Linked DNA regions of Cricetulus griseus. The protein of the gene in region 1 purifies or fractionates together with the protein of each later gene. This does not show direct contact. Links are inferred from orthologs where the notes say so. Each region holds a gene or a part of one and is shown on either strand. Other genes may lie near its edges. The genes, in order: Cdca5 and Pds5b.

The links.
Region 2: the proteins of Cdca5 (region 1) and Pds5b purify together in Homo sapiens (affinity purification with western blotting; 4 studies listed by BioGRID and IntAct, with this or other methods). This does not show direct contact. The link is inferred for Cricetulus griseus from reciprocal best matches to the Homo sapiens genes CDCA5 and PDS5B.

What each region holds. Positions count from the first base shown.
Region 1 is NC_048596.1:53,261,766-53,266,089, forward strand, and holds the start of Cdca5 (sororin), read right to left. Parts: upstream 2,971-4,324; 5' UTR 2,835-2,970; coding exon 2,789-2,834; intron 2,607-2,788; coding exon 2,515-2,606; intron 2,429-2,514; coding exon 2,363-2,428; intron 2,283-2,362; coding exon 2,247-2,282; intron 1-2,246. Other genes in the region: Zfpl1 (zinc finger protein-like 1), read left to right, coding at 3,033-3,180, 3,505-3,614, 3,891-4,002. UniProt on the Homo sapiens protein: Regulator of sister chromatid cohesion in mitosis stabilizing cohesin complex association with chromatin. May antagonize the action of WAPL which stimulates cohesin dissociation from chromatin.
Region 2 is NC_048597.1:86,600,227-86,604,038, reverse strand, and holds part of Pds5b (sister chromatid cohesion protein PDS5 homolog B), read right to left. Parts: intron 2,519-3,812; coding exon 2,380-2,518; intron 858-2,379; coding exon 822-857; 3' UTR 1-821. UniProt on the Homo sapiens protein: Regulator of sister chromatid cohesion in mitosis which may stabilize cohesin complex association with chromatin. May couple sister chromatid cohesion during mitosis to DNA replication.

The DNA.
Region 1 (4,324 bases):
CCAGCAACCACATGGTAGCTCACAACCATCCGTTATGAGATCTGGTGCCCTCTGCTGGTGTGCAGATATACATGGAGGCAGAATGTTATATACATAAATAAAAAAAAAAAAAAAAAAAAAGCAAGGCAGAACAAGGTGAGTGGTTGTAGTGCATGCCTTTAATCCCAGCACCCGGGAGGCAGAGGCAGGTGGATCTCTGTGAGTTCGACCAACCTGGTCTACAAGAGCTAGTTCCAGGACAGCCTCCAAAGCCACAGAGAAACCCTGTCTCGAAAAACAAAAACAAAAAACAAAACAAAAAACACAGATGGGTGTGGTTGGACACACCTTTAATCCAGTACTCAGGGGCAGGAGGACCTCTATGAATTGATGCCAGCATGGTTTACAGAGTGAGTTCCAGGACAGGCAGGGCTATACAGAAAAACCCTGTCCTGAAAACAAAAGGATGCCATCAGAAGTGGTACCACCTCTAAATACTACATCCCCATCCTCTTGCGGCCACACAGCCACCCAGACTGTACTACTTTTTTTTTTGTTTGTTTTTCTTTTTCTTTTAGTTTTTTGAGACAGGATTTCTCTGTGGCTTTGGAGGCTGTCCTGGAACTCTCTTTGAAGACCAGGCTGGTCTCGAACTCATAGAGATCCACCTGCCTCGGCAAACCACCCCTGCAATGCTGAGATTAAAGGTATGCACCACCAACACCCTGCCAGATTGTACTTTTTGAGAAAGGGTCTCTTTATGTAGACCAGGCTGGCCATGAATTTGGAAGTCCTCACTTTTAAGGTAGTTATGTTTAGAGGGAAAGATATCAAACATGTAAGCAAGTACTCTACTAGATGATGATAAAGTAACCGCAGAGAAATGGGTCAATGAACTATAGTAGTCAGGAAGCTCTCCAGGAGGAGGTGTGATAGGACATGTGTCCAGCCATTATCTTAGTTGGGGCCTAATCATATTAACTCAAGGCTCTCCCCTTGGTCCCAGGGTTGCAATGAAATCACTCACATACTCCTAGAGAAATCTTTCTATGACATCCCAGCTTTACTCTCTCAGTACCTCAGTTCAAAAGCTGGCTGTGATTATCTCAACAGCAGGGCACCTGCTTAGCATGTGTGATATCCTGAGATTGACCTCCAGCACCACACATCAGGATAAGAAATCAAACTAGGGACTATAATCCCAGAACTCTTGGGGCTTAGGAAGGAAGATAGCCTTGACTTCAAGGCCAGCCCATCTTACTCAAAGAGTACCAAGCCAATCAGACCAACTCAATAACAAAACCTTGTTCAAAGAACAAAATATCATTGGGTATAGAGATGCACAGCTGTAATTCCAGTACTTGGGTGTTTGAAGCGAGAGAATCAGGAATTCAAAACCAGCATTAATTATACACTAAGTTCAAGGCCAGGCTTGGCTATATGAGACACTAATACACTATCTCAAAAAACAAGGTGTTCACAGACAAATGACAAAAGTCCTTAAAAGTTCTACCAAAACTATAAAAGCATGTACATACAACTCATCTTCAAGATGGGGTTTCTCTGTGTAGCTCTGGAGGTTGTCCTGGAACTCGCTTTGTAGACCAGGCTGGCCTCGAATTCACAGATCTGCCTGCCTCTACCTCCTGAGTGCTGGGATTAAAGGCGTGCGCCACCAACTCCCAGCATATAACTCATCTTTTACAGTTTGTATTTTGTATGCACGTGTCCATGGAGGCCAGAAGAGGACACTGAAGCTACAGATGGTTGACATCCATCTGATTTGGGTGCTGAGAATTACTCTTTCCTTTTTGTAAACATTTACTTAGCTGGGTGGTGGTGGTGCACAGCTCAGGAAGGCAGAGGTGGATCTCTGTGAGTTTGAAGCCAGCCTAGTCTACAGGGTGAGTTCCAGAGCTATACAGAGAAAACCTGACTTGAGAAACAAAACAAAACAAACTAAACCCAACAACATTAAAAACTAAAAATGAAGGAAAGTCCTGATAGCATGGACTCATTTAATCCTTGGTACCATCACTGGGGAGACCAAGGCAGTTGGATCTCTGAGTTTGAGGCTAGCCTGGTCTACAGCAACTTTCAATTCAGGACAACAGTGTTACACAGTGAGATCTAAAGTGACAATTCATAAAGGTGTCAAGAGGCAAGTTGTTCTCAGCTGCCTGGGTGGAAGTGGTGCTTAGTATGTCTACCCTTTTTTCTAAGGAGAACCGGATCCCATACAAATAAGCAGGTGGAACTGAACTCACCCTAGGACTCCTTCGAAGTGTGTGGACAGCTGGGACCTGTAGAGATAACATCAACCCATCAATCAACAGCTTAGCCGGTTTGACATCTCACTCTCAAATCCCTTTTAGTCCCTCACCTCTACTGCATGAGCCACGATCTTCTTCAAGATGATAGCCTTTCTGACCGGAGCCGCTTGAGGTGTCTGAAAAGAGGGGAAAGGGTTACCATGAGCTTTACATTTGTTCAAAGCTTTACATTAGGTCAGTACCTGAGGAACTCGGATCTCACCTTCGGCCATATTTCAGGAAAGATGTTTGGGAGATCTGAGCCAGATTTCCGCTGGGACCTCTTCGAAGACTTAATAAATGGAGTCTTGGGTCCTGGAAAGGGAAATATGTTTAAAGATAAGCAAAACTTTGTTCGAGGAAAAAAATAAAAAACCAAACGAAACCAGGCGCTTGACGAGTTCGGAAAAGCTGACGCCGTTTTCCAACTTGCCCGGGAGCTAAGTTTCATTGTCCAAACGACACGGCCCTACGGCTGTCGAGCGTCCTCCACTCACCAGGCCGCTGCGCGGCCCCTCCGGACCTCGTTCGCCGCTCCGACATATCTATGGTCCGGCTCAGTCTCCTTCACCACCGTAGCCAACTTAGGCTCGCGCCAACCGGGAAGTTTGTTCCTGCAAACGTTCAAATCACCCGCCAGCGGGAAGGCGGAATCGGAAGTGACGCAAGAAGAAGGCTGCCCCTTGGACTATGCCTTTGTCGTCTCAGGTTTACGTCTTGCGTGGGCAGAGGCGTGGCCTGATGGCGCTGTGGCGTCATCAGAGCGCGCCGCACCCGGAAGAGACGTGGCAGCGGAGGGATAATCAGAGCGGCTGGAGCCGAAGGGAGCAGAGCTTCAGCTACCGGAGTGGGTCAACACAGTCTCCGACCTTCTGCGCTTCCCACCACAGTACGCACCGGTCGCTACCGGTACCGCGGAGGTTCTCTGAGACTCAGCATGGGGTCTGCCGGATGGGGGTGGGGTCAGGAGGGGGTGGGGTCTTAGGGGCGGGCTGGTGTTATTGGAGTAATTGATGGAGAGATCTGGCTAGGGGCTGGGTCCTGATGGAATGAGTACGGTCTGTGCTGGGGGCGTGGCCGTACCCGTGCTGAGGACTAGTGTGGGACGGGTCTGAGAGATTAAAAAAAAAAAAAAAAAAACGAACTAGGTTGGTAAGAACAAAGTGGCAATCACATGAACCTGGTTTCCTGTTAACTCAGATCCTCTCTCTAGGATCGGTCATGGGCCTTTGCAAGTGCCCCAAGAGGAAGGTGACAAACCTGTTTTGCTTCGAACATCGAGTTAACGTCTGTGAGCACTGCTTGGTAGCCAATCACGCCAAGGTGGGACGTTCAGAGCGGTGGCTGAGCAGGGCACTGGGTGGGCAGGCCAGTCTCCTTCCAAATCCATGAGGGACTCAACGCTAGATTGTAAGCTCCACAAGGGCAAGGACTTGGTTTATGTTGCTCTCTGTTAGACCTCCAGTAGGTGCTCAGTAAGTGTTCATTGACTAAACACACAAAATGAATCTGATGAAAGAAACAAGGCACTTGGGCCTTGGAGTAGTATATTAATCGTAGAGCCTGGGCACCAGTTGTGACATCTCTTTTCCACTCCAGTGCATCGTGCAGTCCTACTTGCAGTGGCTACAAGATAGTGACTACAACCCCAATTGCCGCCTGTGCAACACACCCCTGACCAGTCGAGAGACAACCCGTCTTGTCTGCTATGGTAAGGCCTGGGCACTGGGAAGGGGTCAGGGCAGCCCCAGGATCCAGCTTGGAGACTGGTTTGCTGGCACCTTTCAAGCTTCGAGACAATAAGTCTCTGAAACCTGGAGGCCAGAGCCTCTGATCCCAAATCTGTTAGGTACTTCCCTGCTTCGTAAGCCTAATCAAGCCTTGTCCCTTCCACAGCCTCAGTGTCTTTCCTTCCTGCTCTGCCAGTCTTGGAGAGCTGGAGATGACTGATCTGTGGCTGTGAGCAAGATCCATTTTTGGGGAACGTTATTAATTCCAAGACTGGACAGAAAGGAAGCCTCACTCGTGCATTA
Region 2 (3,812 bases), on another chromosome or scaffold:
ATTTTATTGATACAGTAGATTAATATAAACTGAAAAAAGATGATAGAATGGAATAAAGAATTTAGTACATTATTTTATAACACACTCTTTAAAATTAAAATATTTTAAATCTCTTTCTTAAAATTTTCATTGCCATGAAAGGCCAGAAAATTCTGGGACCAATACTGAGGTGTAAAGTCATCAAATAACTTGAGGACTATTTCACAATCTGTGTGGTGTCCTCCTGACAGTTGCGCTGCTCTAGTGTAATGGCAGACGCTCTAGCACCTCTCGGGATGAAGGGTGCCCTGGGTAAACACAGGCGAGATACAAAGAGAGGAAGAGACTACTTAACTCCAACAAACAGTGACATCAAGAAAATGACACCAATTGTTGAAAAAACCAATGTTCACAGTAAAATTGCAGAGAATACAAATACAAACCCTGACAGACTACTGCTTGAGATCCATCCTAACAAATGCTTCTCAGATCAAGAGATCCAGTAAGCAGCTGGGCACTGTCAGTTTAAAGCCGCAGAGAAAAGCTATACAAGCACTTTAGAAGTCAGAAATGGGGAGGGCGTATTTACAGGGTTCTTCTTTAGTTTATGTCTACACAGCCATCACACATGACACTTTCACAAAACTCTTTTTTAGTCAATGTTATCACTATGTGAATGGCTGACGTATGTGACCACAAATTCATGGTCAAAGGTCCAACTGTCCACACTTTGGCAGTCCTGTTTTGTGCATCAAAGGCTTTATTTAGCCTCATACTTGACCAAAGGAAAAAAAAAAAATGTTTTTCCCCCAAAGCTTTCACATTGCAAGTTTCTGGCATGTTCACCGTCTCTCTCGTTTGGAACTTCTCCGTCGTACCTGAAGAGAAAAGTCAACAGATAACTAAGGCGAGCACATTCACGTTCACAGTAACAACCACTGAGTTTAACACAATCTTTATTCTTGCACACTTCTGAATTTCTTTGCATTTTTTTCCCTAAAACTGTCTCCCTCTTTCTTCCTATCTTCAGGTAGTTAGGCCTCTAGGATGTCTGCAGATGGAAAAGCCTGCAAGCAATTATCTTCAGATTGATCATCTTTCTCCTTACTTTTTGTGGCAAAGAACACACTTGACTCTTGGACTAGGCCATTTTGAGACAGAGGTTAGTGAATTTGGCTCCCAACACTTGCAGTGACATCTACACAACCTCAAGTTCAAACATACTACCATTTACCAGCAAGGCCTACAAGAAGCTTAAAACTTGGATTAAAAAATAAGGTCAGGAGCCAGGCAGTGGTGCCGCACGCCTTTAATCTGTGAGTTCAATGCCTGTGTGGTCTACATAGCAAGTTCCAGGACAGCCAGGACTAAACAGAGAAACCCTGTCTCAAAAAACCAAACCAAACCAAAGTAAACCAAACAAAAACCAAAACAAATCCAACAACATTGGTATAAAACAGCGTAAGTAGCCAGGCGGTGGTGGTGAATGCCTTTAGTCCCAGCACTCGGGAGGCAGGGGTATCTCTTTGAATTCAAGACCAACCTGGACTACAAGAGCTACTTCCAGGACAGGCTCCAAAGCAACAGAGAAACCCTGACTCGAAAAATCAAAAAACAGCATAAGTAAAAGGAGCAGGGTTTTAAGAGAACCGACCTAACATACAGTTGTTCTCCATTACTATGGATGATTCAGTCTTCCTTTCAAATCCCTCTCCTCAAAGTCCTTACGAAACAAAGCAGAGCGGCTCTGAGACACTTCAAGTGAGACTCATATAAACCAAACTGGACAGATAGGACTGCTGAACATATTAAGCAGAAGCAACCTGCAGAGGCCAGCTCTGGGAACTGACCAAACTCAAGTTTTCCAGATGAAGAAAACTGAGCTGATCTAAAAATCTTTGCATTAATGTGTCAAGAAAACGGCTATTTGTGTTAATTTTATTTTCTTCTAATGAGAAGTATGTGGTAACTAGCACCACCATTTATTCCCTACAAGAACAAAGTTCAGAAGCAGCACCCAGTGCCAATACAAAGCCAGATCACACTTCAATCCTGAAGGATGAGTTTACTTCAAGATTCAGTTTTAGTCAGTGTGGCTTTCTTCTGCTTTCTAACACAGAAACAAACATTTCACAGATACCAGTGTCACACCACTCAACATTCAGCTGACAGGTTCACTAGACATTACAACATCCGTCATGGTTATTCAAGCTCCTCTCAGAGTTGTTTCTCCCATAATTCAAGCTGGTAAGTAAGTAACACGACAAACTAATGAACAAAGCACAAATATCTAGAATTACAGACAATACATAGCAAGTGCTAAATGGAGCTGACTAAGCATTTATTGGCTCTGTTTGTGCCCTTTGTAACAACACACAGGACACTTCAATAAGTACATACATTTCCTGCAGAAATGTCCTCCTCTTCTGCTCCTTCCTGTGCAGTGTCATCACTGATAGGAGAGCTGGCCTGAAGCACATCCATTTCTTCACTCGAATCATTTTCTTTAGTAGCTGTCTGTTTGGAGCGTCCTACACGGCTAAAGCAAAACACATTAAATGAAATGAGAGTTCCGATCTTAAGTTGTAGATTAACTCACTGGAAGAAATATCCTAAAATAGCACATGTATGCATTCTTGTCATTTTTATCCTCAATTATACCATAAGAAATAAATTTCTATCTTGATCCTAAGCATTACTGTGATACTCTAACAGATTATACAAAGGACTTCATGACAACCTGAAGCTGATGCCTGCTTCATCCTTCCTCCTCATCACAGAACATCTGACCCACTAAGCCACTCTGAGCAGCATCCTCTGAGTACAACTGTGCACCTTTCCTCTCACCCTCCAAAACTACACAGAGGAAATGAACCCACTCACTCCTCCCCACCGATGTGCTACCTCTGACGGTTCCTTTTTACAAAATGACCTTCAAAAACAGAACAGGTGGTGTCGCTGCACACAAACCCCTGCAAGGACCTGAGAATAACACTGTGTGTTCCTTCAGATGGTCCTGGCCTACCAGTCTATTCCTGGCAGTTACAATCCAGTAAATCCCCTGATTGTTCCAGTTTCTTGGATTTACCAACTTTTTCACACCTTCAGAAAATTCAACTATAGTATTCTGCCAATCCAAATTGTCTTCTCCCTACTATCTCCTACTTCTGTTTTGTATTTATATACTATGTGTTAACATGTGTGCCACAGTGCACCTGTGGAGGTCAAAGGACACTTGAGAAAATTGGTTCTCTCCTACCATGTGAGTACTGGGGACTGAACTCAGTCAGTCAGGCTTGGCAGCAAATGTATTTACCACTGAACCATCTCATCTCATCTCTCCTTGTATTTTCAAGTAATCTATTCACCGACACATTCCAAAAAGAAAACTTTCCCAACTCCCAGGTCCTTCCACTGTATTCTCTTATAACGCCCTAAATATTTTCAGGACATATACCAGACATATATATGTGACTCCTTAGTGACTGCCTACCTGCTCTTGTCTGTTATGTGCCACCATACAGAATTACATGGATGATAATGATAATGTTTTCAATTACATTACAGTTAGAACACAAAACACAAATTATAACATGGTATTATTTCAGCTCTGAAAAAGAACTGTCCAGAAAGTATAAGATAGAACAAAAAGTCTCCTTCTGCCCTGATTTTGAAAAAGATATAGTTAGGCTTTGAATGTTCATGGGAAGAGCTATGAAACTTGAAGGAAAATCACAACCATTTGAGCCCTTAACTTTATGATGTCCAGATATTAGAAAAAAAGGTGAATTACAGGAGTGAGATATTTAAAACTGTTATCAGATGACTGTTGT